Linked DNA regions of Kluyveromyces lactis. Each later gene encodes a partner of the first gene's protein in a complex. Links are inferred from orthologs where the notes say so. Each region holds a gene or a part of one and is shown in the gene's direction. Other genes may lie near its edges. The genes, in order: NUP116, NUP49 and POM152.

Region 1 (3,536 bases):
TAAGGGGGTTTCACATCTACTTTATTGTGTCTACCGAAGATTTGCATACCAGAGAGATGCATCTTTTAATGCCTTTACTGCCTGGCTTTATCTCTCATTTTATTTTCATTTCTTTCGACTATATAGAACATATATACTTTTTGGGTAATTTAACAGACGGAATTCATTATATATAACATATTGGAATTAAGTGTTTCAAACAGGGAGCCAACTCAGAATTGCATTAGCAGCTGTTCCCTTGTGCTCAAGTAATTACTGCTACATCACAATCCCCCAAAACTACGTATCACTACGTACGCTATGTCACTTAATACGATTTTAGGTCATCCCTCACCTCTGAAAATTTCTTTATCCTTGAAGTAAACAACTAATTGATGATAAAGAACTAACGTTTTCTAAGTTGATGCAAGCAATGTTTCGGCTTATATGATTTGTCGTATTTGTCTTTCAGTCATACTATCAGCAACTGAGACCAATAAAAGTATTCATACAGTGCGTAAAGTGGGAAATTTTTTTATAGATCGTTAATTGATTAGTGTGTTTCTTCTTTCACAATCAGAGAACAAGGACACTCACTCATCTTTAAATTATTTCTCAGAAAAATACCATTGAACCAAAACGCTACGACTTTGGTATTATCTACTTAGAGATTACTTGTGTCATTGAAGGACATATTATTTTATTCCTAGTCAGCTTTTTCATCAATTGTCACCTCACTTGATTTCCTGACCCACTGATGTTTGGTGCTTCTCGACCGGCATTTGGACAGACGAGTACTTCTCCTTTTGGCCAACAAACTCAGTCAACAACCAATGCGTTCGGTCAACAGCATAGTGGAACCACAAACAATCTGTTTGGATCCAGCTCTGCCAACAACGCGCAATCAGGGTTTGGTGGGTTTGGTACCGGCGGCGCTAATACAAACCCTACGCAAACTATAAATTCCCCATTCGGTATGTCACAACAGCAAAATACAACTACTTCTCCGTTTGGCGGGGCAGCAGCAGGAGCAGCAGCAGGTAATTCATTGTCGAACCCACCATCCCTGTTTGGTGGTAGCCAATCTAGTGGTACAGCGACAGGCGTTCTCTCTTCTGGACCTCCTTCTGGCACTGGAATCAAGCCATTCCAACCTTATACGGAAAAGGATGTGTCAACTGGATATCCATCGGTGTTTCAATCTATTACTTGTATGCCTGAATATAGCCTTTATTCGTTTGAAGAGTTGAGGTTCCAAGATTATCAACAAAATAGGAAATTTAGCACCACTGCTGGAGGTCCGACAGCTTCTGCTATTGCTTCGCCATTCGGTCAACAACAGACAAATGGTACTAACAACACTTTTGGTTTAGGAAATAAAAATACCATCAGTGCAGGTGGCGCAACTCCCTTTGGTCAACAGCCTGCAAATTCACCTTTTGGCCAGCAACAGCCTGTAAATGCATTTTCACAACCTAATAACACTCCCTTTGGCCAACCACAGCAGCAACAGCAAACTGGCATGTTTGGACAACAGCAGAATAATTCTCCATTCGGGCAAAATACTGCTTCAAGTTCTTCTCCATTCGGTTTAAACAAACCGGCTACCTCTGGAGGTCTGTTTGGACAAAACACCACCAATAATAATTCCGCATTTGGTCAAGCCAACAACTCATTATTTGGTCAACAAAACCAACAGCAAAACCCAGGTAACGCATTTGGTCAAAATACTGGTTCAAACACCTTTGGGAGCACTTTCGGCCAAACAAACACCAACAATCAACCGGGTGGTTTGTTTGGACAAAATAACACCACAGCGGCCAATACTGGTGGACTTTTTGGTCAACAAAGTAACGCCAATAACGCATTTGGTCAGAATAATAACACCTCAGGTGGATTATTTGGATCAAAACCAGGTGGAACTACAGGTGGCGGTTTATTCGGTCAGCAAGCACAGAACGGACCCTCTCCTTTCGGTCAACAAAATGCTGCTAATTCTACTCCATTCGGTCAGGTAAACAATACTCAGGCGGGTGGATTGTTTGGACAAAACAACACCAATACTGGCGGAGGTTTATTTGGACAGCAACAACCATCTAACACAAACAGTACAGGATTATTCGGACAACAAAGTAACGCAGCTAGCACTGGCGGTCCTTTCGGACAACAAAATAGCAACTCCATGAATCAACAGGGCGGAGGATTATTTGGTGCGAAGCCAACTACCGGTGGCCTGTTTGGATCAAACAACCAAAGTCAACAAGGTTCAACTGGGTTATTCGGAGCTCAAAATAAAACTGTAATGGGTGGTAGTTCCGCGCTGTTTGGTCAAAATAATCAGCAACAACAATCTGGCGGATTGTTCGGACAAAGTAATCAACCGTCTGCAACGGGGGGGTTATTTGGTAATCAGAACCAACAAACACAGCAACCTAACACCGGTGGTTTATTTGGTCAGCAGAACAACAGTATGGCAAACAACACCGGAGGATTGTTTGGTGCAAAACCAACAGGAACTACTGGTGGATTATTTGGCCAAAGTAGTCAGCAGCAGAATACATCTAGCGGATTGTTTGGTCAAAATAACAACCAGAACAACACAGCAACGGGGGGTCTATTTGGTCAAAACAACCAGCAACAAGGTCAATCATCGGGTAGTCTCTTTGGTGCCAAACCTTCCGGCACTAACGCTTTAGGAGCTACCAACGGCGGGTTATTCGGAGGCAACACACAACAGCAGAATACGGCTACTGGTGGTCTATTTGGTGCCAAACCAGCTGATAGTGCGTCAACATCTGGTGGCCTTTTCGGCACTAAACCAACAGGTGGTTTGAGTAGTACCACTGGAGGTGGATTATTCGGTGGAAAACCTGCCGGAACTGCACCTTTTGGCGCAACAAACACGAACAATGCCTCATCAATTGGTGGCGGAAGTTTATTTTCTGCGAATAAGCCAGCAAATACTGGTTCGACAGGATTATTTGGATCACAAAACAACACTTCTGGTAATGCAAATACAGGTGGTTTATTCTCTTCATCTTCCTTGCAACAAAACCAACAAATGCAAAACCAGCAGCAAGCAGCACAAGCGAACTCCAATCCATATGGTACGGATGAGCTATTCTCCCGTGTTATCTCTATTCCTAATTCCATTACTCAACCAACTAAGCCTAGTGCCACAATGGTTTCTGCAGACTTGAAGAAAAAGAACTCCCTCTCCGCAGCATACAAGCTGCTTCCAAAACCCTTGTTTGACTCTAAAAAGTCGGAACCGAACTCCAGAAAGGTTAAAATTCATCTAAAACTATCAAAACCCAAGGAGGAAGACACTAGTTCGACTGCTCTAACAAGAAAGCCTATGGATTCTTCAATTTTCACTGCATCTACTGATGAGGCTATTTTAACTACCGGAGAACTCCTCTTTAATCCAGACAAAAAGTCTTTCAAAAACCTTATCATCAATCGCCAAAAGATGGAAGAAGATGATACCTCATCTGGTGAATTGAAATTCATAATCTTCAATACTGACGACGGACCACAAAAGAAAATGGAACAGA
Region 2 (10,957 bases), about 380 kb from region 1:
TTCCTGCAATTATTTCATTGTCAAATAGAACTTGGATTGAGACGTTCTTGCCAATTGAAGTGTAGCCAACGACAGTACCTTTGCTGTGAAGTGGAACCTTGCCTGAATCTTGAATGTACATTACCCTATCACCTAAGTGGAACCTTTGGGAGCGCAATAGAACATATGACGATTCCGCATTTAAGATTGCCTCACGTGGGACCTTAGCTAATTTCTTCTGCTCGCTTGAATCTGGTAAAGAAACGTATTTTATGATTTCAGATTCAACAGCTGCCATCGAAGCCTTGGTTAGCGAATCACTTTCCAAAGACACCACCACGAATGGTTTTCTTGCTTCTGAGAGCCAATCAGCCACTGTTTTCAAAATGGAATCAGCTTCCGCGCTAGATTTGTTAGGGAAGAGATCAGTGATCGATGGAATTGCTTGTTCCTTCGAGTTAGAAAGTTTCGCAAAGAACTCAGGGAATGTAGATCTGAACTGCTCTAACAAACCAAGAGCGACGTCAGAGTATTCCCATTTGTTTGAGCTGCATCTGGCATAACCGAGAACTTTTTGATTTCTTGCTTTGAATTTGATCATCAAACCGACGTTATGGCTTTTCTTTTTAGAATCATTGACCAAATATCTTGAAGTAATTTTTGACAAGAAGAGAGGGTGGACACGAGCTATTTTTGAAAACACTTGTGTTGGGTAGAATCTCAAGGCTTGAGAATCCAATTTCGCTCTAACTTTTCCGATGTTAGGCTCTGCTCTGAGAGAACCCTTTTTGACTGTAAGTTTTAATCTAGTCTCACTATTATAACCATCAACGGTCGCCTCCCCACCATACGCATAATCACCTAAAAACACAACTTTTGAACCTTTTGGAAATTCTTTATTAATTGGTAACGGCTCTTTTTCAATATATCTTTCGTCCTTATTTTTTACGTCCTCTACGATTAATTGTAAAGGATAGTATTCGATAGTTTCATTGAAAGACTTAGAATAGGAACCATCAGAGTTTCTCACCAATCCATTTACTGGAACCACTTTAGCCAAAGCAGAAATGTCATCCAAAAGAATGGCCTTTGTCCTTTGATAATTCGATTTGAGAGTCATCTTCAACTCTCTAAATTCTTTCCTTTCAAAATCCTGAGGCTTTCTTTCAATGACCTTTGTTAATTTGCCTGACTTAACTCCTTCATACACAGTTTCCTCTGTAATCAACGACAAAAGTTTAGATTCTCTTAGAAACGGCCATCTTGAATAAACAATCTTACCCATATGTCTTTTTGCTAGATCTGACAGAGAGATGCCATTTTCCTTGTAAAGGTCCTGAATATGCAACACCATAGATTGTTGTTTAGAAGGGAAATTGAAGACAACAGAAGAATTATAAGCAAGCTCTGCAGTTAGTGGTAGTGTCTTTAGGGATGGGAAACCGGCCAAAGAGCTAGCTCCGAGTTTAGCGCCCTTTGGCAAACCAAATAAGAACTTAACGTTTTCCATCGATTCTGGAATGAATTCCCTTTCGATACAATGATTGTGTTCAATATCATTAAACAACCCCGCTAGTGGTGTTTTGTAAACTGTGTCTACCTGAGGATTGAATATGAAAATCAGATCAGTTCCGAACGAATTTCTTTTCTTTTCATCCGGAGAAAGCTTAGCATCATAAGGAGCCATTGCTTCTACTAAACGCTTTTGATCCACGAATGAAATTTTGACGACAGCTTCCCAGTCTGCTGTTTTGCCATTTAGATCCAACTCTACTTCGTTAGGATAGAAGTCCAAGATAGGAGAGTGTTCATCATACATGAGTGGTCTGTACACAACTGGAATCAAATTCTTTGATCTCTCAGGCAAGACGGCCATCAATTGTTGGAAGGGCTTGAAAGGCTGTCCCTTGTGAAATTCTATGTTCTGATCTATACCTTTGATCACATCTGATATACGAGGAGCGTAATGATATCTGTAATACCAGGACCAAGATGGACATCCACGATAATAGTAGTATAAAACCCATTGTAAACCTCCGACATAGTTTTCTGTCATTTCTTTTAGACTATCAGTATCATTGATGGAAAAATCTAATTTATCTTTATAGTATTGATCTTTCCACTCAACGAATCTCTCGCTATAAATTTCACGCTCTTCTTCTAATTCTTCTTCAGATGCAATAATAATACCTTGTTCATATTTCTTAATAGAACGTCTTGTTTCGTGAATACGGGCTTCATGCTCTTCATCTGTTTCTTGCACATTGATGGAGTCTAAATCCAACTTGAAGTAGTACAAATCTTTTGATTTAGAATGAGCAAGAATTAAACCCAAATCAAATGCGAATTCCTTCAAGAAATCCAGGTTGGCCCGAACCAATTCTTTATCCTCAAGAGGGAAAATTTCGAAATCGGCATCCTGTAATTCAGAAGTGACCTTCCGTTGAACGGTTTTCAATAACCATGGTTTTACGGCGCCAATCAATTTCTTTTGTTGTTTCATCAACAACTTTTTACCCATCCTAGTACGTTTACGCTCACCTTCCAAGGAAATATTTTCAAGTTGTTGATTGAACCATTCAACGTCAATATCTTTCTTCTCAAAGTTAAGGTATTCAAAATCGGACAAGTACTTCAACCAAATGGAAAATCTTGCCAAATTTATCTTACCTTGTTCATTAATGTAACCATCCATATGTTGGAGAGCTTCTTTAAAAGTTTGTAATAGCACAGGGAATGCACCTTTTTTCAAATGCAAATCGGGCAAATTTGGTAAGAAATCATTACCGATGGTAAATAATACAAAGATGAAATCATCTAATACTCTTTCAAAGTCGTATTCAAACTGCACAGAATCTGTTATTTCTTCGAACTCTAATGCCAAATATTCTCTCAAGATAGACAAATGCAACAAGAAGAAGTTCTGTGTTTCTAGAGTTTTCACAGAAGACGAACGTTTACCAAAAGTAACTTCTTCTCTTAATAAACAAAAGTGGTGATCATGGGTGGATAAACCTAGGATGATCAAATCAGCATCTAACCCGTAGATACAATGTCTTGTATTTGGATTGTAATCCTCTTGTGCTCTAATTGCTCTGATGTAATCCATGATCTTATGTTCACCTTCACCAGGAACCTCATGCCCGGAGAAAATAACCTTCACGTTCTGCCATCTGGTATCGTTGGTGATCTTGTCATGGATGAAATATTTCAAATTCTCGGTTAATTTTGCCATAAATTCTGTTCCTGGGGTAATAGCGTTGGAATCAAATGGCTCTCCCTTAGGCAACTCGTCACCATTTTCAATGGCCTTCTGCAAAGCCTTTTCGGCATCCATGGCAGTTCTGAATCTACGAGCTCTTTGTTGGTTCATCTTTGCTCTTGGGGCCACACCATCGATTGCCATATAAAATGTCTGTTTTGGTTTAATAGTATGGAAAAGATGATCAATATAACTGAAAATTTTGGAATAAACTTCTTCCTCTGATAGTCTTGAATTCACCTCGCTACCATCACCATGCGTACAATTATGCAAAATAGAATTCATATCCAAGTACAAATTGTCGAACTCTGGAATCTGTGATCCATCGATCAATTGAGAAATTTGAGGCCATCTCTCAGAGATGAAATGAAAGAATTTTGGAATACCCATTTTTAGTTAAGCCACAAACCGTAATTAATTGAACACTTTCTGAGGTTTGCTTTACTGACTTTTTTCCTCCAACAATAGAAAAGATCAACAACAACTGGGATTGGATAGTACCAGTAGTATACGTTGCCGAACAATGAGTAACCACTTTTAGTGAATTGTTATAATATACCCTGATATGGATGAAAGACCCTGAAAGTACATTAACCAAAGCTACTGTTTAGTAACATAATCGTTAAGGTAATTTGGTAATTCTTTCCAATGTTCAATCGGAATATTTTTCTTGGTGGTGGCAAAATTTTTTGAGACGAGGTTTATGGGTTACCCGGATCCATAAGTTCAAGCTTTTTTTTCTTGTTTTATACTCTTTGATGGAAGAGTTGAAAACATTTTGAATATGGAAACTGAGAAAGTAAACAGATGAGGTTAAAAAGAAAGATGGAGAGAGCAGAATTGAGACACCAATTGATACTGAACAGTAAGTTGAATTAACTGAATTTACGGCGTGTAAATATCTAATACTCTTATTACTGATAGAAACGAAATGTTTGGCCGTTCTTCTTCTACAGGTCCTCCAGTAGGACCAAGCACAGGAGGAGGATTATTTGGGAATACGGGCAACCAGCAAAGCACTAGCGGTGGTCTTTTTGGTAATAACAATGCCACATCAGGTAACACTGGAGGAGGGTTATTTGGAAACAATAACAATACAGCGACACAGACTGGCGGAGGATTATTTGGCAGTAATCCAGCAGGCACCAACAACAATACGAACCAAACCGCAGGAGGACTTTTCGGAAGTTCTAATAATACAGCCACTGGCTCCACAGGTGGCCTATTTGGTAACTCAGGAGCCGGGTCTGGCGGAGGCTTATTCGGGAATAAGTCAGCACAACCACAGACCACTGGTTTTGGAAGCTCTGGAACTGGAGGAGGATTATTTGGATCCAAACCAGCACAACCACAGACTACCGGTTTCGGAGGCTCTGCAACTGGTGGAGGATTGTTTGGATCCAAACCAACTACCGGAGGCCCATTCGGAAATCAACAACAGCAATCCCAACAATCTGGTTTAGGAATGTTTGGACAAACACAAAATCAATTTCAACAGCCACCACAACAACAGATACAACAGACTCAACAGAGTGCCATTAATTTCATTAACCAATTAGCTATCACGCCGATGACCAAGATATCGGAGCTTCCGATTCAAATTCGTCAAGAAATCGAACAATTGGACCAATTCATTAGAACGCAAGTGTCTTTATCCAAACATCTTGAAGCTGATCTACAAGATCAAACTGAACTATTGGATTCAATCCCTCGTGACATCAAGTATCTACAAAAATTGCATTTCAACGCAACAAGATCACTATCATCAGATTTGAAACGAATCGATGCCATCAAGACACTAGTGGATAAAGATGTTAAACAATTGGAAAATTTTGCTATAATGTTGCAACAACTAGTCAGTAAGGGATTCAAAATATCAAACGTTGAGATAGATAAGTTCTTCCAGGAAAAATTAATCACATACAAACACAAATTAAATGACTACAACGACACTCTAAGCAATATTGACGACGCAGTGTCAGGTCTAGAGAATGATCTCTTTGGGAACGATTCATCCGAAGATGATGATACCAAGGTCGGTGTTAACATTATCGTCAGCGTTCTAATCGAAGAGTTCAAACTATTCATGGATACAGCTGAAAGAATAGCAGAACTGCATCAGAAGTGTAAAGAAATAATAGTTAAATAGTCGATATTATTCTTTTAATACTATAAAAAAAGAAAGCGTTCAAGAACATATTACCTATTGATGCAGATCACTAACTCCTGCACATGCACTGCACCTGCACCGCATCTGCCACTTGTCTCTTCGCAGTCTTCTCTTCTCAGGCTCCCTTTATCTTCCCTTCCTTATTTAGGTCAATGAGTTGTGAAAAAAGGGAATTTGATACGACAAATATAAAAGGAATAAGGATTAAAAAATGGTTAACAAGGAGTAACAGTTTTCCCGGAAACGAAAATGTGAAACAAAGAACAAAGGAAAGGCGTCCTGGTTTTGTGATTATACTCAAGAAATATATATAGGACTGATAAGAATTTTAGAACGTTGCTGGCAACTAACTATCATTATTGGAATATCAGAGACATATTAAGTGTGACATTTTAGTATTAATTCTGTCAGTATAAACTTATTGTAGATCAAGCTTCAGGCGTAAAATCAAGGAGCTAGGAGATTTTTTTTTTGATTAAAGCGAAGCGATGGCTGAAGTAAAAGATAGATGTACATCAGTGGATGGAAATGACACTTGGGGGGTCGTTGGTGGTGTGGACGGTACATATTCCATCAGGGATCTTGACGCTGGTGAAATGGACGATATTTTATCGGTGACAAGCAGCGACTTAGAGGATTCCGCAGTGTTGCAGAATAAGAAAGGGAGCGTTAATCATAGTAACAATACTACGTCGTTATCCACGCCACTGGATTCATTATCCAACGTTGCGCCTGCAAAGACAACAGCAAGGAGCAATACATGGACAGCGCGCTTGACGAAACTTCAATCCGTTATTCTTGGAATTTCGTTGGTGGCCGGTCTCATCAACATGGGCCTCTTGACCGTTTTCATCCGTGATATTAACAGTTTTACTAAAAACAACGAGTTAGAGTGTAGTTCACTAGCTTTCAAGGACAGATTGGCTTGTCAATTTGATGCATACATGGGCCATAGGGCCCATGCATACGAAGCAGCATACGTGAAGAAAACGCCACTTCCATCCACTTTAGCATCATATTACCCTAGCTTCCCTTCTCTTGAGCAATATTACGAAGTATGTCAGAAGAAGTTGAAATTTACTTATGCAGCAACTTCTAACTGGGTCAGTACAACGGTGAGGCGTGAAAACTTCGAAAGCGTTAAGGAATGGACGAAGAATGCGAAGGAAACAGCAGAAGACCGGATCACTGCTTTCTACTCGCTAACTAAACAGAGATTCGATAGCTACAAGGAGACGCAATGGCCCCGTCAACGACAATCACTATTCAAGTTCAGAGTAAATTTACAAGCTGCTATCCATAGGTACCAGAGAAAAATGAGGAAAATGTACCCACTTGAATTCCCACATTTGCGCAAGTTTTCCGTGCCTAGGATTTGGTACAAATCCTCTGATAAGCTTCGCCACCAATACCATAAAATACTTGATCTCTTAAGGGTAAGAATGTGATGTGTGATTCAGGGTAAAATTTGATATATACCATACGTAAACAGTTTTTCCAGGATATATATGTATGTGTATTTCGTTTCTAAAGTATGTCTTCATCAGGCCTACAGCACAGAGGTTCTCTCCCAGTTATGACGGAACATCTTGGGCCAGATCATGTCTATTTCCCCGTCGCATGTCCGGGTAACAGGAGGGGTAATCGTCCAAAATCAGATTTCGGGGATGCAAATGACTTTCAGACCTTTTTAAAAAACCCAGGGCGTCCCGAAATGATAACTAGCTTATCAGCCAACACGTGAATTTCCCACGTGGAACCAAATACGCCGAACATGGATCTGCGTAATGTTAATAAGGTACCTCATCTTAAGTAAAACGAAAAGGAAATTGTTAGAAAAGCACGGTCTTTATCAAGAAAAGACCGTGCATGGTGCTGCATGTGGGTTCAAGTTCACGTGGTAATGATTGGAAAGTACTGCGTACTTTGTTGGGAATTAATTTTTGTTCTCTTCCACTCGAGGGACCACGAGTCATGAGCAAGGGAAAAACGTGTTTTATATATGCCAATCATAACGGCAATCTAGTGACATTCTTGGTAGGTTTCTAGTAAACCCGCTTGGCACATGTCTGAAGCCATGTAACAGTGTATAAATATATATATATATATGCATATAAAAAGCATTTTCTTTACGGGAGTTGACCAGCGGAGGAGACGTAAAAGGCCGTGGGATAAGATCAGCACACGCTGACGCAAATAAAAAGATAACATAAAAATAAAACCAAACATAATGGATAAGAAGATGATTTTACCACTACCCAAGAGCCCAAAGGAAATGGCAGAAAATCGAGGCAGAGCGACACTAAGTTGTAACCAATTTTCGCTTCTTCCATCCATTCGTAACTTAGTAAACTACACAGACACAGACAATTTCGATGATACACCAAGGACGTTACCTCCAATAACTAAACTCTCGATAAGTCCCCCGTTGACCATTGCCGATGAGAAAAAAGTAAAAGCTGAAAATAAGATAGACACAAGTGACGCAATATTTAGGCCCAGAGCCCACTCAGACTCTTCATGCTCTTCCACAGATTCATTGTCTGAGTTAGATTTCAAACAATTGCAAGAAAAGCTACTGCACGATAGACCAGAACCCGGGTACATCCACGAATGGAACCAAAAGCAAGGACGTGGGGCTCGTTACAAGAAGAAAATACACTGTAAGAAATGCCACATTTGCGGGAAAGAATTCTCTCGTCCAAGCACTTTGAAAACACATATAGTGGTGCATTCACAGGCGAAACCGTTCAAATGTACATATCTTGATTGTAACAAGAGCTACAATGTCAAGAGCAATTTACGAAGACACGAGAAGAAACACAAGTGCCACAAGTGTTGATTTTTATCTTTAACCTTAAAGGATAATAAGCTTTTGAACTTTTTTATACAAATCGTATACTACAATATGATGCAGAATGAAATACAGGTAATTAGGATGGTATATTTTATATTTACATATTTATACATATAAAGCACACAGATATGTGCATTGGTATATGTATATTACGGTAAATAAGAGCGAAGATCTCAGTGTCACACGACACATCCGTAAATAATGATGATACATGGCCCAAAACTTGTTTTGTTTCGAGGAGGGCCCAGACCCTGTTGAACGGCCTTGGGTGTTATCATAATCATTATTGTTACCCTCCCGAGAATCTTACAGAAACATGAAATTCCAGTCACCCAGCAAAGACGTACCCACTTTATAATTACGTACCACCATCATCCGTAACCCTTGCAAAGCCGCTTCAGAAGAGAGCAGCTCGGTAGCTGAGGTTTATCGGGATCAGGTTAGGCTGGCTGCCCATGCAACTCTTGCTCGCACGCTCATAAGAAGCTAGCAAACCACGTTCTTTTTTATAGCTATATATGGACAACAACCAACGTTTAATAATCAATAACCCACGTAGCCGTATTGCATCTAACGACGTATTGTTTCTCCTCTTACTGCCGTTTCTTGGGAAAAAATTGCACTTGAGTGTTTTTGCCAAATTTTTTTTTTTTTTTTTTTTGAATCATCGGTTGGCAGGGTAAAATTTCCGTTCTGATGGATTCTCCCCTCGAAATGATTAAACCATGATTCTTCACTAATTTAATTAATCTCCAAGAATAAATACATATACTATATATAAATGACGGTGTTTGCCAAGTATTATTTTAGCAGACCACTTGTTCAGCAAAGCTAAACAGACATTTAAAGAGAGAGCAGGTACGTTTCATCGAGGTATAGTGTTAGCTGGACGAGGGATTTGCGCTTATCATTGAAAGATTAGCAATTTAAAAATAAAATAACATTGCAGGAGAGGGATCAAGGTCTCCTTTCTAAAGTAAAGAAAAAGCATAGGACAAGTGCACATTTTTTAATTGAGAAATTGCTTCTTCCACCGCAGGAAACTAATTTATGACGATGGCCTCAAAGAATTTTGCTGCCAAGAGGAAAAGAACCAGGACTTTGGAAGGCATTAATGAAAGCTCGACACTGAGATCACAATATATGGATGGACACATGTCAGATCCTATAATGACGGCAGCTGCGGCCGCAGCCGCAGCCGCAGCTGCAGATGTCTCAACGTCTTCTGCTTCAAATACTGGACGGATGCAGAATCCGTTCATCGAGGAATTTATGTCATCCAACAACGATCCAATGACGGCAGATTCGTTAAGGGGCACGCTTCTGTTGGATGTTGACAGACAGGGCCAGAATTCAGGATCTTTTGTTACCGGTATCGCTGCTAATAATAGGAATAGTAAACAAAATGAAAACGGGAACGGATTTGATCTTGTAGATTTGGACGACAGTGCCGTGGAGTTTGTCAATAGTGTCAACTATACGAGTGCCAAAAAGGTAAAGAAGCAAAGAACAGTCTCTTTACCACAATTACCGCATGCAAGACTACTCTACGAACCCAGAAATACGGATAGGAGGACACAGAATGATGACGAGTTATTGCATGTCAGCGGTACTACGACGCAAACTGTTGATGGGAACAAGTTGATTAAATTGCCATTGATCAGATCTTTGTCTCCGGTACCTGTTGCTGATTTCAGATTGGGAAAAAATGGTGGTATGCAAAACAATAACCAGGACCAGAACTTTGACATCTCAAATTCTGCCTCGAAATCTCCATCCAGGTTCACCAAAATTTTAAAGAAATCTCCGCTATTGGGCTCCCATCAGGACAAATTACGTTCTATGGATAGATTCAAAACTGATGAGGAAGGTCATTATGTATACCAGGAGAATGACATTTTTGCCAAGAACAGATTCCAGGCTATGCAGCTTTTGGGACAGGGTACTTTTGGGAAAGTGGTAAAGTGCAAGGACTATTTAAACGATATCACTGTTGCTGTCAAAATCATAAGAGCTGTCGATAGATATCGGCAAGCTGCAAAGACAGAACTACGTGTCTTGCAGACTATAAAGGAAAATGACAGGAGTGGCCAATATCAATGCTTGCTGTTGCGAGAATTCTTCGATTACAAGAATCACATATGCTTGGTCACTGATTTATACGGCAGGTCCGTGTATGACTTTATGACAAACAATGGATATGCAAGGTTCCCTGGTTCCCATGTTCAAGCTATCGGTAAACAGTTGGTACGTTCTGTGTGCTTCTTGCATGATTTAGGAATAATACATACTGATTTGAAACCGGAGAATATATTGATATGTGATGAAACTTGCGTGGAACAGTCACTTCCAATGGAAATCATAGACTCTTTAACTGAAAGAAGGAAACTGGCTAGCGGTGGAAAGAGAAAAATACTCATAAATCCTGAGGTGAAATTAATTGATTTTGGAAGTGCTGTATTCTACAATGAATACCATCCACCTGTCGTTTCAACGCGTCACTACAGAGCTCCTGAAATTGTTTTAGGGCTTGGATGGTCTTTCCCATGCGATATCTGGTCAATAGCATGTGTATTGGTTGAGCTAGTTACTGGCGAGTCACTCTATCCAATTCATGAAAATACAGAGCATATGGCTATGATGCAACGTATCAACAATGAAAAATTCCCTAAAAAGATGGTTGAAAAAA
Region 3 (11,683 bases), about 880 kb from region 1:
ACTGTTGCTGTGACAGGAATCTCTGTAAAAGCTGTCAATGGATGCCAGTTGGATCATGATGTACGGTTTTGATGTTTTTCATAATGAAAACACAGGTTTTGGCGCAGGTTGATCAATAAAGGCTTCTTACATTACTGCTGAATGACAAACTGATGGGCAGTGAGAGAGTACAAGGTCTGCAAACTCTTTTATAGTGGGCTAAAAATAAGTAAACAATGGTAGAGCTGCTAAAAGAGAATTTTTTTCAGAACTTACTAACTGTTTTAAAAGGGTATGTGAATATAAAAACAACACATTTTTCATTCGAATTATGTTGCATTCGCACATGTTTTTGTCTAGAATCGGTGATAATAATAAATTAAAGACCAGCATACGATGACCTGGGGTTCCTCAAGTCTTTATTTTATGTTTTCAGTGTTAGATTTGCCAAAGCATGATTTTATTTTACAATCAAATACTAACAGTATTAATTTTATTTTGATTTAATTAGTGCATCTTCGAAATGCAGAGCTTTAGATGAAAGGTTTCCTAAAGAATTCTACGAGCCTGATCCAACACACATATACGATTCTTACGTGAAGTTTCTAAGGGCCAAGTTTGATGAAAATCCAGATATCAAAATAGCAGAAGATATTGATTCAATTTCCATATCTGATAAATTTGCTAGTGGAGATTACCAGAAGCATGAAGATTCTGTTTATCGGATTTACCATGATATTAAATTAGTATGCTCCATTTTAATTCACTACTACTCTCAAGGAACGAGGTCGTACCAAATGGTCGACAAATTCTACAAATTTGCAGCAGAATTGATTCTAAGGGAATGTTATAGAGTTGGAGCCAAACTGGTGGGAGACTTCGCGGCAGACATTGACTTCAAAGAAAGTGATTTTTCAAAAACCATTTCCAATGATTTCCTTAAAATTAGTCAAGTTTATCAGCTCCCCGTTACTGAAACTTACCATACGCAGACAAAGGAGGGACATTTGTTCAGTTCGGTGATAACGAGGTCAGTACTTGATCAGAGGCCAAAGGAAGTACCATACGAGGAATGTGAAATTGTGAAAATTATTCCTCAAGCAACATCCCAACCAGCCAATAGATTGGGATTCGTAGCAGCTAACACTTCCAATGTTCCTGATCCAACAATTTCTCCTACAGAAATCATGACCTCCTTTCTGCATCCGAATTGGTACCCGCTACCCACTACTAAATGGTTGGAGTATGGCGACTATCAATCTTTTGCTCCGAGTATCTCGGAGTTCAAGTCTGTAACAGATTGTTCCCGTAAAGGAGACATATGGTTGGAAAAGGTCGGATACAAAAGCTGGTTAGAAATAGAATCGAAGAAGAGAGGGGCTGCGGAAGCAGAAGATAAAAATGTTGAAGATGAAAAAATAAAGGATGAGGGTATTGAAGATCAAAAGGTTGAGGAAGCAAATGACAGTATCGGATCTGACAACCAAAAAAAGGAATCAAATGAAAATGATGAAGAGCAGAATGTTGCCACGGATGAAGAGCAAGATACAAATGAGGAGGGAGATGAAGTAATAGTGACAACGGAGCCAGCTGGACCTGTCAATATTAATTTGAAAAATCTTTATGACTGGCAACCTAGCCATGAGATACATGATGAAGATATAACGGCTTTTGAGCAAGGTGAACAGCAAAGGTTATTGACAGAGATATTGCTAAAGCTAAAGGCATGTAAATCGAGAAGGGTCAAGCTGAACAAGATATCAAAACCAACAAGTGAGGAAGTTTCCCTTTATCATAGAGCACAGAACATCTTGAAAGAAGCTCTACTTTCTAAACAGATTGTGACATCTCCAAAATTGCACGAGAAACATTTCCCAGTCCTTCAGACTAATTATGCCGGATCAGTTCCTGTCGTCAAGACCATATCGACTAGAAAAAAGAAAAGTAAGAAAGTTATGCAGTGAAGTAGATATTTCCGTATAGAATCTATAAATCGCAGCTGTGGTAGTGTGCAATAATCTGTGGGGCTAGTTTATTATCAGTGATAGCTAACGGTTACTATTATTTGGAGTTATTTTCTGAAACCATCAGTGTTTCGATTTTTTTACTTCCTCAATTACTTTCGAAGGTAAATGTCCAAGAACAATTAAAGATTATATAAAGAACAAAGAAATTAACCACAACAAAGGTACAAGAGAAGAGATCAACAAAGCAGATCCAATAAGTACAATTTACGAATTGATTATAGATTAAACAGAATCCATCAAAACTATATAAAATGCCTACTTAGACTTAAAAATGCACGTCCGCTCCCATGAGGTATGAAAATACAAGATAACAATTCAATGAACCAATTGTCAACCATATAACAAATGAACTGATGCTCAACAGTCTTCCATTGGTGTAGTCAATGGACTTAACGCCTTTCGATAATAATCTACTTTCTTCAGTACTGTCTGCAGATGCGGGTGCAGAATCCACATCCACAACGGTCATAATTTTATGATTCATAGTGAAGTAAATCAAAGGAGCAGAAACGATTGGTAAAATCAATGAGAGAACCACTTGACTCAAGTTTAGAATACTAGATACCCCCTTTTCTCCCAAGAAAGCCGTAACTAAGAAACAGGGTACGATGGCTATCAACCTTGTCAATAGACGAGTCACCCAAGGTTCAAGTGACCACTCTAAAAACCCTTCTGATACAATTTGACCTGCCATGGTACAAATGACACCTGCTGATTGACCACTAAAGAGCATTGCCAATGCAAATACGAGCCCAGCAGCTGGAGACACATAATGGGACAATAATTCATAAATAGAGAGTAAATCAGCATCCTCTGCATCGGGTTGCCCATATAAAGTCGCACCAGCGACTATTAAAATGGCAGCATTGACGAAAGTGGCGATGAAAAACAACGACACTATCAATTCAGCGTACGAATATCGCAACGTGTACTCAATGGCACCTACTGAAGGTTGTTCCTTAATTTTACCGTATTTTTTTAAGTCGTAATCGAAAACCCTTGGTTTTACGAGAGAGGAACCCAAAAATAAGGAATGAGGCATCACAGTAGCACCAAGAATACCTAAAGAGATATACATCGCTTGTTGTTCTTTGAAGATGATGGGATTTGGAATGAAGCCTTTGAACACCTCTAACTTGCTTGGTACGGATATCTTGAACAATTCAATAGCGAAACAAATAACTGTCGCTCCAACTAAAATCCCAACAAAAGTTTCGAACGCCCGGACCCGTTTCATGGAATGTTCATCTGGCCTGTAAAACAGAAGTATCAGCAACACATCAAAAACGGTCAACAGCACACCCCATAACAAGGGAATGTTAAACAAGATATTTAATGCAACGGCAGCACCAATCACTTCCGCCAAGTCTGTTGCGATAATTGCAACTTCTGCAAACCCGTATAGAATATAATTAACACGCTTTGAAAAATGACGACGGCAGTTTTCAGCTAAATCCAAACCAGTGATTGTACCTAGCTTGATGCAGAGGCATTGCAAGACAATCGCAAATATGTTTGAAATGAATGTGATGAACAACAATTTGTATTTAAATTGTGCACCACCTGACACACTAGTAGAATAGTTCCCAGGGTCCATGTATGCAACACTGACCATGATCCCAGGTCCGACAAACTTCATAAACTTCCTCAAAATTTCAACATGGTTCCTCTCGAATACACGAGATAGTATAAGCATGGCAGTTTCACAGTTTAGATAATCTTTAAGTACCAACAGTAACGTGCCAAGAATAAATTACCGTCTTTCGTTCCTTTATCTAAATTCCAATAAACAGAGAATGAAAACAGCAGAACTATCACCAATTTACAACACAGAATATCTGACCTCTATTGAGCTAGCGCCTCAAACTCTTACAGATTCTAACGTATCGTGTTTTAGCAAACTCTCTTCTCGTAAATGACTTATTTGTAAGAGTGCAAATCAAATAAATCAAAACCTTAAATTTCTAAACTTCTTTTATAGAAGGAGATTCAAATGCACCTCTGTAATGTTATATACGACGAACGTGAGAGCTGTATATGGTGTTGAAAACAAATAAGTTCCAGTGCTCCAGTTGTGATTCAAAAAAGGAGACGATCCTGGACAATGGAAGTATCTCGATTCCAACCAAAACATTCTTTTTCTCTCTGGTAAATATATATATTATATATGTTAGGACCCTTAGCTATCATTACTATTACTGAATCTGGCATTCAAATTTGCCGAGGTTTTTATCAGATGAGGTCATGATAAAACTTACCTAATTCAGGATTCATTAGCCAGATGGGGTAAAGACATTTGCTTACTAGCATTTATGTCCTCCTTGCTTCTGACTAGGGTTTTATGAGAGGATGACGGGAATTTGACGGGAATTTGACGTAAGCAATGGAGCTATGCAACGGAATCGACATTATAATATCGATGCAAACGATCTCACTGGTAATTCTGGATAGGCGAAGAATTCAAGAGGCTATAATTCGAATATTAAGACCACAACGTAGTGGCAGATCATATAGAGTTGCTGCGTCCTTGACCATTGTACCTTGATCAGAAGCGAAACCTGAATCGTACATAATGATATATCCGATTCAGATCTTGTCAACAAACAGAAGTTCAAACTTTAAGCTTATGTTTGGTCTTCTCATGTATGCAGATGCAGGCTAGGATCAACAAGCAATCGCGATCCAGGCACCCGTTACATACCAATCGTCAATTAAAAAGCGAGCGACTAAGTGATAAGTTGTATGCGTGATCCCATTTTTTTCTATTAAACTTCTGCGTATTGGCACTTTAGAATCATATTCTGTTGAAAAGGGAAGCTGAGATAAGTTCAGACGCATATACAGTTAGATAATGGATTCCAGTTTCGGAACAAATGGGTTCTATACACATACTCCATCGATGTGGAGTGATAGTAGGCGTAGGAACGTTGGAAATAGAGATAAAGACTCGTTCAGAGGAGGAATAAGCGATCGAAGAAATGAAGAGATCAACAAACCAAAAGAAGATCCATTTTGTATATCCGGTTTTTCCAATTACACAGGAAAATCGAAGTCAAGCACTAGTAGAGCAAAGAATGGCCCAGCGAGTGAATCGATTAAGGAGCTACCTTTGATTTCTACTGAAGTTCTCGATGCAGCCAGTCAGAGAAGATTAGCCTTCGTCGTTTTTTTTATCATTCAATGCTACAAACTATACGATCTAATCCTACTTAAGAGTGGGATACCATTATCTGGGATTTTTCTATCGAATTCAAGGTTAAACTTCATTTCAAAATATTTGGTAATAGACTCTTTGTTCTTTTACTGTCTCCCCACGTTCAAAATACCCAAATTAAAGTTCAAACCACTGATAGTGCTTTTGCAGATTATTTCATCCGCAACCCTCACACTGTTTATCTCCAGTGAACAAAGTATCCCATTGGTATCGCTTCTATTGTCATTATGGAGACAGTATCACAGCAGAGACTTGTCCTTAACAGGTGACTCTGTCAACCCAAGAAAGGCTATGAATTCGGCAGAACACTTCAAAGGTGCACATACCATTAAAATTTTGCCAGAAAATACAGCATATTTGAATCCCTTCCACTCGTCTTTTTGTCTACCACTGGACCAATCTGGTCCTGCCATTGAACTACCTATAAGAGTCAACTCATCATCCACAATCAATACAGTCCAGTTAGAGTTCAGAGATCTATACTCAAATGAAGGTGAACTGTGGAACTTCACCAAGAACGATTTAAAACCACTCAAGGCAGATATTTCAAAGGAAGAAACTGATCGTAACATACATTACTTTACTGTACCTCTTAACAAAATCGGGTTTTACCAGTTGAAAACCGTTCTAGACACTAATAATATCAATTTGAGAATATACAAATCCCAATTAGTGCTACCTCACTGCCCATTGGCTTCCATTAACGGAAAGGGAGAAAATGATAGATGTGTTGGAGATAATGATGAGGTTTCAATTCAGGTACAAGGTGCTCCACCTCTTAAATTGACTTATACTAAGACAATCAATGGCCAAAGATACGTACTAGAAGATTCATCACTTCAACCAGAATATTTTGAATCACCTTTGCTAACGAATTCAAAATTCTACAGTCAAAAAGATGTCCAAGATTTAAAATGGGCTCGTTCGTACCCTGTAGATATCGCATTAGAAACTTCAACCAAAGAATACGGTGAACATGTTTACTCTATCGAAAGAATTGTGGATGGATTTGGTAATAGCATTGATTTTTCCTCATTATCATCACAAGTAAGAGAAAAGTATGATTTGATCCACAGATTCTACGTGCACGACTTACCAAGAGTATCTTTGGATGAAAAAATGAATCCCGACAGTTCTGTTAGAAGGTCTTTAATAGTCAAATTGGACTCTGGCGATTTTAACAAGGATGCTCCATTCATCGTTCAGTTATCCCATGAAGATAACAACTCCAAAGTGAGATACTTCGAAAAACAATTCAATGATAAAACATTAGAATTCAAAGTTGATGAGCCAGGTTCTTATAATTTGCTCTCAGTAAAATCGAGGTATTGCCACGGTGCCGTGATTGGAAAATCTAATGTTCTGATAACTAAACCAATTCCTCCTCAATTATCTGTAAGATCAACCCCAATATTAGATCAATGTGTTGGACAGGTCGGCTTGAATTTTGATCTTACTTTTACCGGTGTTCCTCCCTTTTACTACAAAACAAAAATATACAAAACTGAGCAAGGAGAACGTAAACTATATGATACAAAAAAATTCAGCTCCCAAGGAACCAGAAACCAGTTTACTTATTCACCCACATCAGAAGGCAGTTATGAAATTGTTTTCACCGAATTGTCAAATGAACTTTTCACATCTCCTATCTCCTTAGATTCGAAAGAGTACACATTCAAAACCAGCATGAGAGTGAAACCTAGTGCAAAGATTTCAGGGAAGCTAGAGACAAAATTATGTCTTGGAGGGAAAACGAAGGTACCTATTAAATTCAGTGGTGAGCCTCCTTTCACGTTAAACTATGATTTAGTAGAGACTTCTTCTAATAAGAGAACTTCGTTTAATAAAGAGAATATTCAAAGTTTTTCCTATGAGATCGAAACACCTAATTTCAACATTGGTGGTGATCATATCCTATCTTTAGTTTCTGTGAAGGATTCCAGTGGATGTTTGGTAGGTCTAAGTGGTACTGATGCCAGAATTACCGTTAGAAGAGATATTCCTTCTGCTTCTTTTGCTGTGTCAGAATCTTCCTCCCAAGTCAGCATTAAAGAAGCTTCATTCGCAGAACTTCCATTAAAACTTTCAGGTGAAGGACCTTTCAGAATCACCTATAGCCATTTGGATAACAAGGGAGACGTTCTCGAAACTGAAGAGGTGACTTTCAGTTCCAACTATAAACCGGCCTTAAAGGTTATGAAGGAAGGTTTGTATAAATTGGCTTCAATTCGTGACCAGAGTTGTGTTGGCAAGATCGTAGATCCGAACCATACTTTCCAAGTAAGTTATCTCAAAAAACCTACGTACTCATTAATTGAGCACAACAGAATCTCAAAACTGGACGATTTCAACTACATTAAAAATGATGTCTGCCAAGGGTTTGAAGAAACCATCGATATGTCTCTAAACGGCATACCACCCTTTTTGATAGAATATGATATGATTTCACCGTTAGGAGAGCTTATCTCATCTTCAGTGCAAGTTGCTACGAAGTATGCTTCAATTAAATTCCCTAATGAAGTCGTTGGTGAATATGTGATAAAGATTAAGAATGTATATGATTCCAATTATGGGAAGGCTGACCTCCAAAAACTTGCGTACAAACCTTCTCAACTTTCGATAAGACAGAATGTAAACTCACTTCCAGAAATAGAATTCTTAGAGAAAGGAAGCACCTACAGAACCTGCTCCGCAAACATAGAGCAATCAAAGCTAATGCAGGATATCAAACTGAAGGTGCCTCATGGCTCAGCTCCTTTCTCTGTTTCGTTCAGTATTTATCACGAAAGTTCTTCGAAAACAGATTCTTTCACCATGCATAATATTACGGCTGCTAACTTTGATTACAAACGATTGTATGATGGCCTCTCGTTGGGAAATCATTTAGTAAGCATTGATAGTGTTACTGATGCAAACGGTTGTATCAATGACCTATCTTCGAGTGGTAATCAGATTTCAATATCAATAACAGACGTTCCTAGGATATCCCTAGCAGACTCTACCATGGAATATTGTGTTGGGGATTACGTTGGATACCAATTGAGTGGGACACCTCCATTCATAATAAAGTACGACTTCAATGGTAAGCAGCTAAAATCCAAGGAACGTTCCTCTCAGTTCGTCAGATATGCATCTGAGCCCGGCGTTATATCTATTTTTTCAATCCAGGATTCTTCATCACAATGTGTAGTAGATTTCACAAATCCGAAGATGAAACAAGACTTTGAAAGGTTATCTTTGAATATACATCCAATTCCGTCGGTAACAGTATCACAAGGCCAAGAGATTGTTGAAGATATTCATGAAGGTGACAAAGCTGAAGTTATATTCTCCTTCGAAGGTACACCTCCTTTCGCATTAACCTACGTCCGTACTGAAAACTCTGGCACCAAAAAGGGCAGAAAGCAACAAATTGTTGAAACACACAAAGTTTCCGATATCTATACTTACGAGTACAGAGTTGTGACCAGTCTACAAGGTACATATGAAGCTTTAGAAGTGTCAGACGCCTTCTGCGCAGCTAAGAATCGTGCGTTGTTGGATTGAAATTTGATTTCATTGTATAATAAATAACCATCTTAAAACTCATTTGATCCTTCAAAGTGGTGAACTATAGGGCTATCATAAACCAACCTGTTGGCATAAGAATTAGCTGTAAATCTACATCACTATCTTCGCCTTCCATTAGCGTTTGTATTCCATCCAATAAAGGTAATGAGGGCATGCCGCTCCTGTGGAACCAGACCAATTCCTTCTTATAGGCATTTTTCAAGAAACGAAGCTTCCATGGAACGCTTCGGCCGACAGCTTTGCGACATCCGAGATTGAAAGTATGTTCAAACTGTAAGTCGAGGTTTTTAGTAGAGCTGTTGGTTGCTGTATGCTCAATATCAACAAGGGTTGTTGAATGGTCATATTCTGGATCATTTTCCAAAATTCTTCTTCTCTTGCTTGTTGGTTCTTGAAAAAACTCAGAAGATTGCGTCTGCCTCTGATAGTATGTTTCTAGTATGCCCGAACTTTTAATTTGATCGTCAACTATCTCTGTAGTGTTCCTGGCACGGATCCGAGAAAGAATAAATGGATTTGAAAGAGTCGTATTTCTGGATAGCTCTACGTCTTCAAGATCTCGCTCAATGCAGCAATCCTCGGTGTTCACAATGTCAGAATATAGAAGGTTTTCCCTTACTGGTGAAGATCTACCATCGGATAGCGTGCCGCTATACATGTCTGTCAACCATTCAGATTCCTTCTCGAGAATTTGTTGAGTAGGGTTATTGGTTATTTGCCGGTGAATTTGCTTTGGAATGTCACTTGTATTAATTATTCTACGAGTGAAAATCACTGATTCACTATCAATATGGGTAGAATTTGAAGGATCATTATACTGCATGTGTGGAGCGTAGAAGGTGAGCAGTGAACATTGCAAAATAGATAGAGCTTTTTCCAGTGTAAGTGCGACAGCTTTATTTTCGCCATTGACTACAGCATTGTCGCTAGTATGGTGGCATAAAAATTGAATGAACCATGCCCTCGGTTCTGGTTTCCCGAAATGCTTATAAAATTCCTTGAAAAAATGATTGACTTTTTTACCAAAGCCTGATTGTACCATTACTGCTTCTCCATTAATGCAAGGATATTTAAGATTCGGCATCAATTCTGTCACTCTGCCATGTGTTCGAATTTTGGGCAATATGATATTAACTTTTAGAGATTCACTTAGCTCTATCTCATCAAAGTGTTCGAACTCAACTATAAGATTCTGTTTGGTAACATGTTTTTTGAATTGCGACATCCGGTCTTCATATTTACCAAACCGCGCAACATATTCTAAAGTCTTGATACTTCCGTCCCTTAGAGGATTGACAAGCTGGCAACTAAAACATATATGCTTATGAATCAAAGAAAAATGAAAAAGCATATCCCTAATCATTTTAATATAATTTTTATCTTTCTTTGCCAGTCTACTGCTTTTACTTCCCGTCATTAGGTCTCTGAGAATAACTGTCGTACCCGGTGGATTCACTACCTTGGAAAATCTAATAGTTTCATTTATTCTGATTCTAGGTGGTGACCATTTAACAGCAACATTCTCTGAAATAGTCCGTGTTATCACCTCGATAGATCCCTTCTTCGATGCTGTTTTGCCAATATTATATAACGCTCTTCCTTTGTACCCTATTCTTTTGCATGATTTACCGTCAGTTTTGAAGTGTTTAACAAAAACGCTGCTGCGCTTCTGGACACTTATTCCGTTACCATCATCATTCAATTGGATGTACCTACATCCGCCGCTAGATTCATCTATTTTGATCAGCACTTTAGTACAATTGGCGTCTATCGAATTCTCTATCAGCTGTTTAACCGCCGAGACAGGATTATCAATAACACGGTTTGTTGAAGTGCTATTTTCAAACAGCCAACAATGAAACCTATTATTCATACAGCGACTTTACAATATTTATCCCTGGGCAGAATCTCTACTCCTTTTTAAGGCATCTTTTTATTGTATATCTGCTTTCTGTATTTATATGTCAGATCTAAGTTGATGAACTTCAGAGTACATTCGACCAAGCTTTTTCTGAAAAATGTATACCAAGTTGAACCATTAAAAGAAATAAAACATAGAAAAGCTCTCGATTTCAGAGTAGTAGATTGAAGTCAAGTAACGTTAATCTAACCGGGGAAATATGGTACCGGTAAGAATTCCTAGAGAGGTACTCAAAAATGGCAGTTTGCAGCACTCGCGGCCAAAAATCATAACGTTTGATGCATATAATACTCTTTATTCCATCAAAAAACCTGTAATGGAACAGTATTGTATAGTGGGTGCCAAGTACGGGATTAATGGTAATCCACAAGAACTCACTAAGAGATTTCCAGGGGTTTTCAGTAATATCCGTAAAAAGTATCCTTTATATGGTAAAAATTCTGGTATCACGGCTGAACAATGGTGGGAGTATCTAATTAGGGATATGTTTGAACCAATACAGATACCAAATGAAATGGTAGAAGAAATCTTAGAAAGGTTCGAGGGCGATGCTGCCTATACGGTATACCCAGACGTCAGGGAATTTTTGGAGACAATGAGGAGGAACCATCCTGAGGTTTCTTTGGGGATCGTCAGTAATACTGACCCCATTGTCCTTACGTTGTTAGAGAATTTAGATCTTAAGAAATATTTCGACGGAAATATCTATCTGTCTTATGATCTTGAGATAAAAAAACCCGACCCGGCTATGTTTAATTACGCGGTCTCTCATATGTTGAAACGCCACAACACTAGTGGTCAACGTGAGAACTTGGAAAATATTCGGCCACACGTCTGGCATGTTGGTGATGAGGAGAAAACGGATCTGGGAGGAGCTTTCCAAGCTGGAGTAAATGGAATTCTTGTAGATAGATCAAACTCATTCGGTTACTTCGACATAACAACTCCTGATGTTTGCAAAAAGGAGTTATC

What was found.
Region 2: NUP116 (region 1) and NUP49 share a complex: the UniProt entries of both Saccharomyces cerevisiae proteins name them as parts of the nuclear pore complex. The link is inferred for Kluyveromyces lactis from reciprocal best matches to the Saccharomyces cerevisiae genes NUP116 and NUP49.
Region 3: NUP116 (region 1) and POM152 share a complex: the UniProt entries of both Saccharomyces cerevisiae proteins name them as parts of the nuclear pore complex. The link is inferred for Kluyveromyces lactis from reciprocal best matches to the Saccharomyces cerevisiae genes NUP116 and POM152.

Annotation. Positions count from the first base shown.
Region 1 is NC_006042.1:2,466,511-2,470,046, forward strand, and holds the start of NUP116 (FG-nucleoporin NUP116), read left to right. Parts: upstream 1-736; coding exon 737-3,536. UniProt on the Saccharomyces cerevisiae protein: Functions as a component of the nuclear pore complex (NPC).
Region 2 is NC_006042.1:2,083,909-2,094,865, reverse strand, and holds NUP49 (FG-nucleoporin NUP49), read left to right. Parts: upstream 1-4,172; coding exon 4,173-5,390; downstream 5,391-10,957. Other genes in the region: chromatin-binding exonuclease XRN1, read right to left, coding at 1-3,631; KLLA0_F22341g (uncharacterized protein), read left to right, coding at 5,900-6,859; KLLA0_F22319g (uncharacterized protein), read left to right, coding at 7,642-8,253; serine/threonine protein kinase KNS1, read left to right, coding at 9,319-10,957. UniProt on the Saccharomyces cerevisiae protein: Functions as a component of the nuclear pore complex (NPC).
Region 3 is NC_006042.1:1,584,297-1,595,979, reverse strand, and holds POM152 (Pom152p), read left to right. Parts: upstream 1-4,857; coding exon 4,858-8,766; downstream 8,767-11,683. Other genes in the region: RSC58 (Rsc58p), read left to right, coding at 216-271, 491-1,943; putative divalent metal ion transporter SMF3, read right to left, coding at 2,272-3,702; mismatch repair protein MLH2, read right to left, coding at 8,831-10,663; DPI35 (Dpi35p), read left to right, coding at 10,911-11,683. UniProt on the Saccharomyces cerevisiae protein: Functions as a component of the nuclear pore complex (NPC).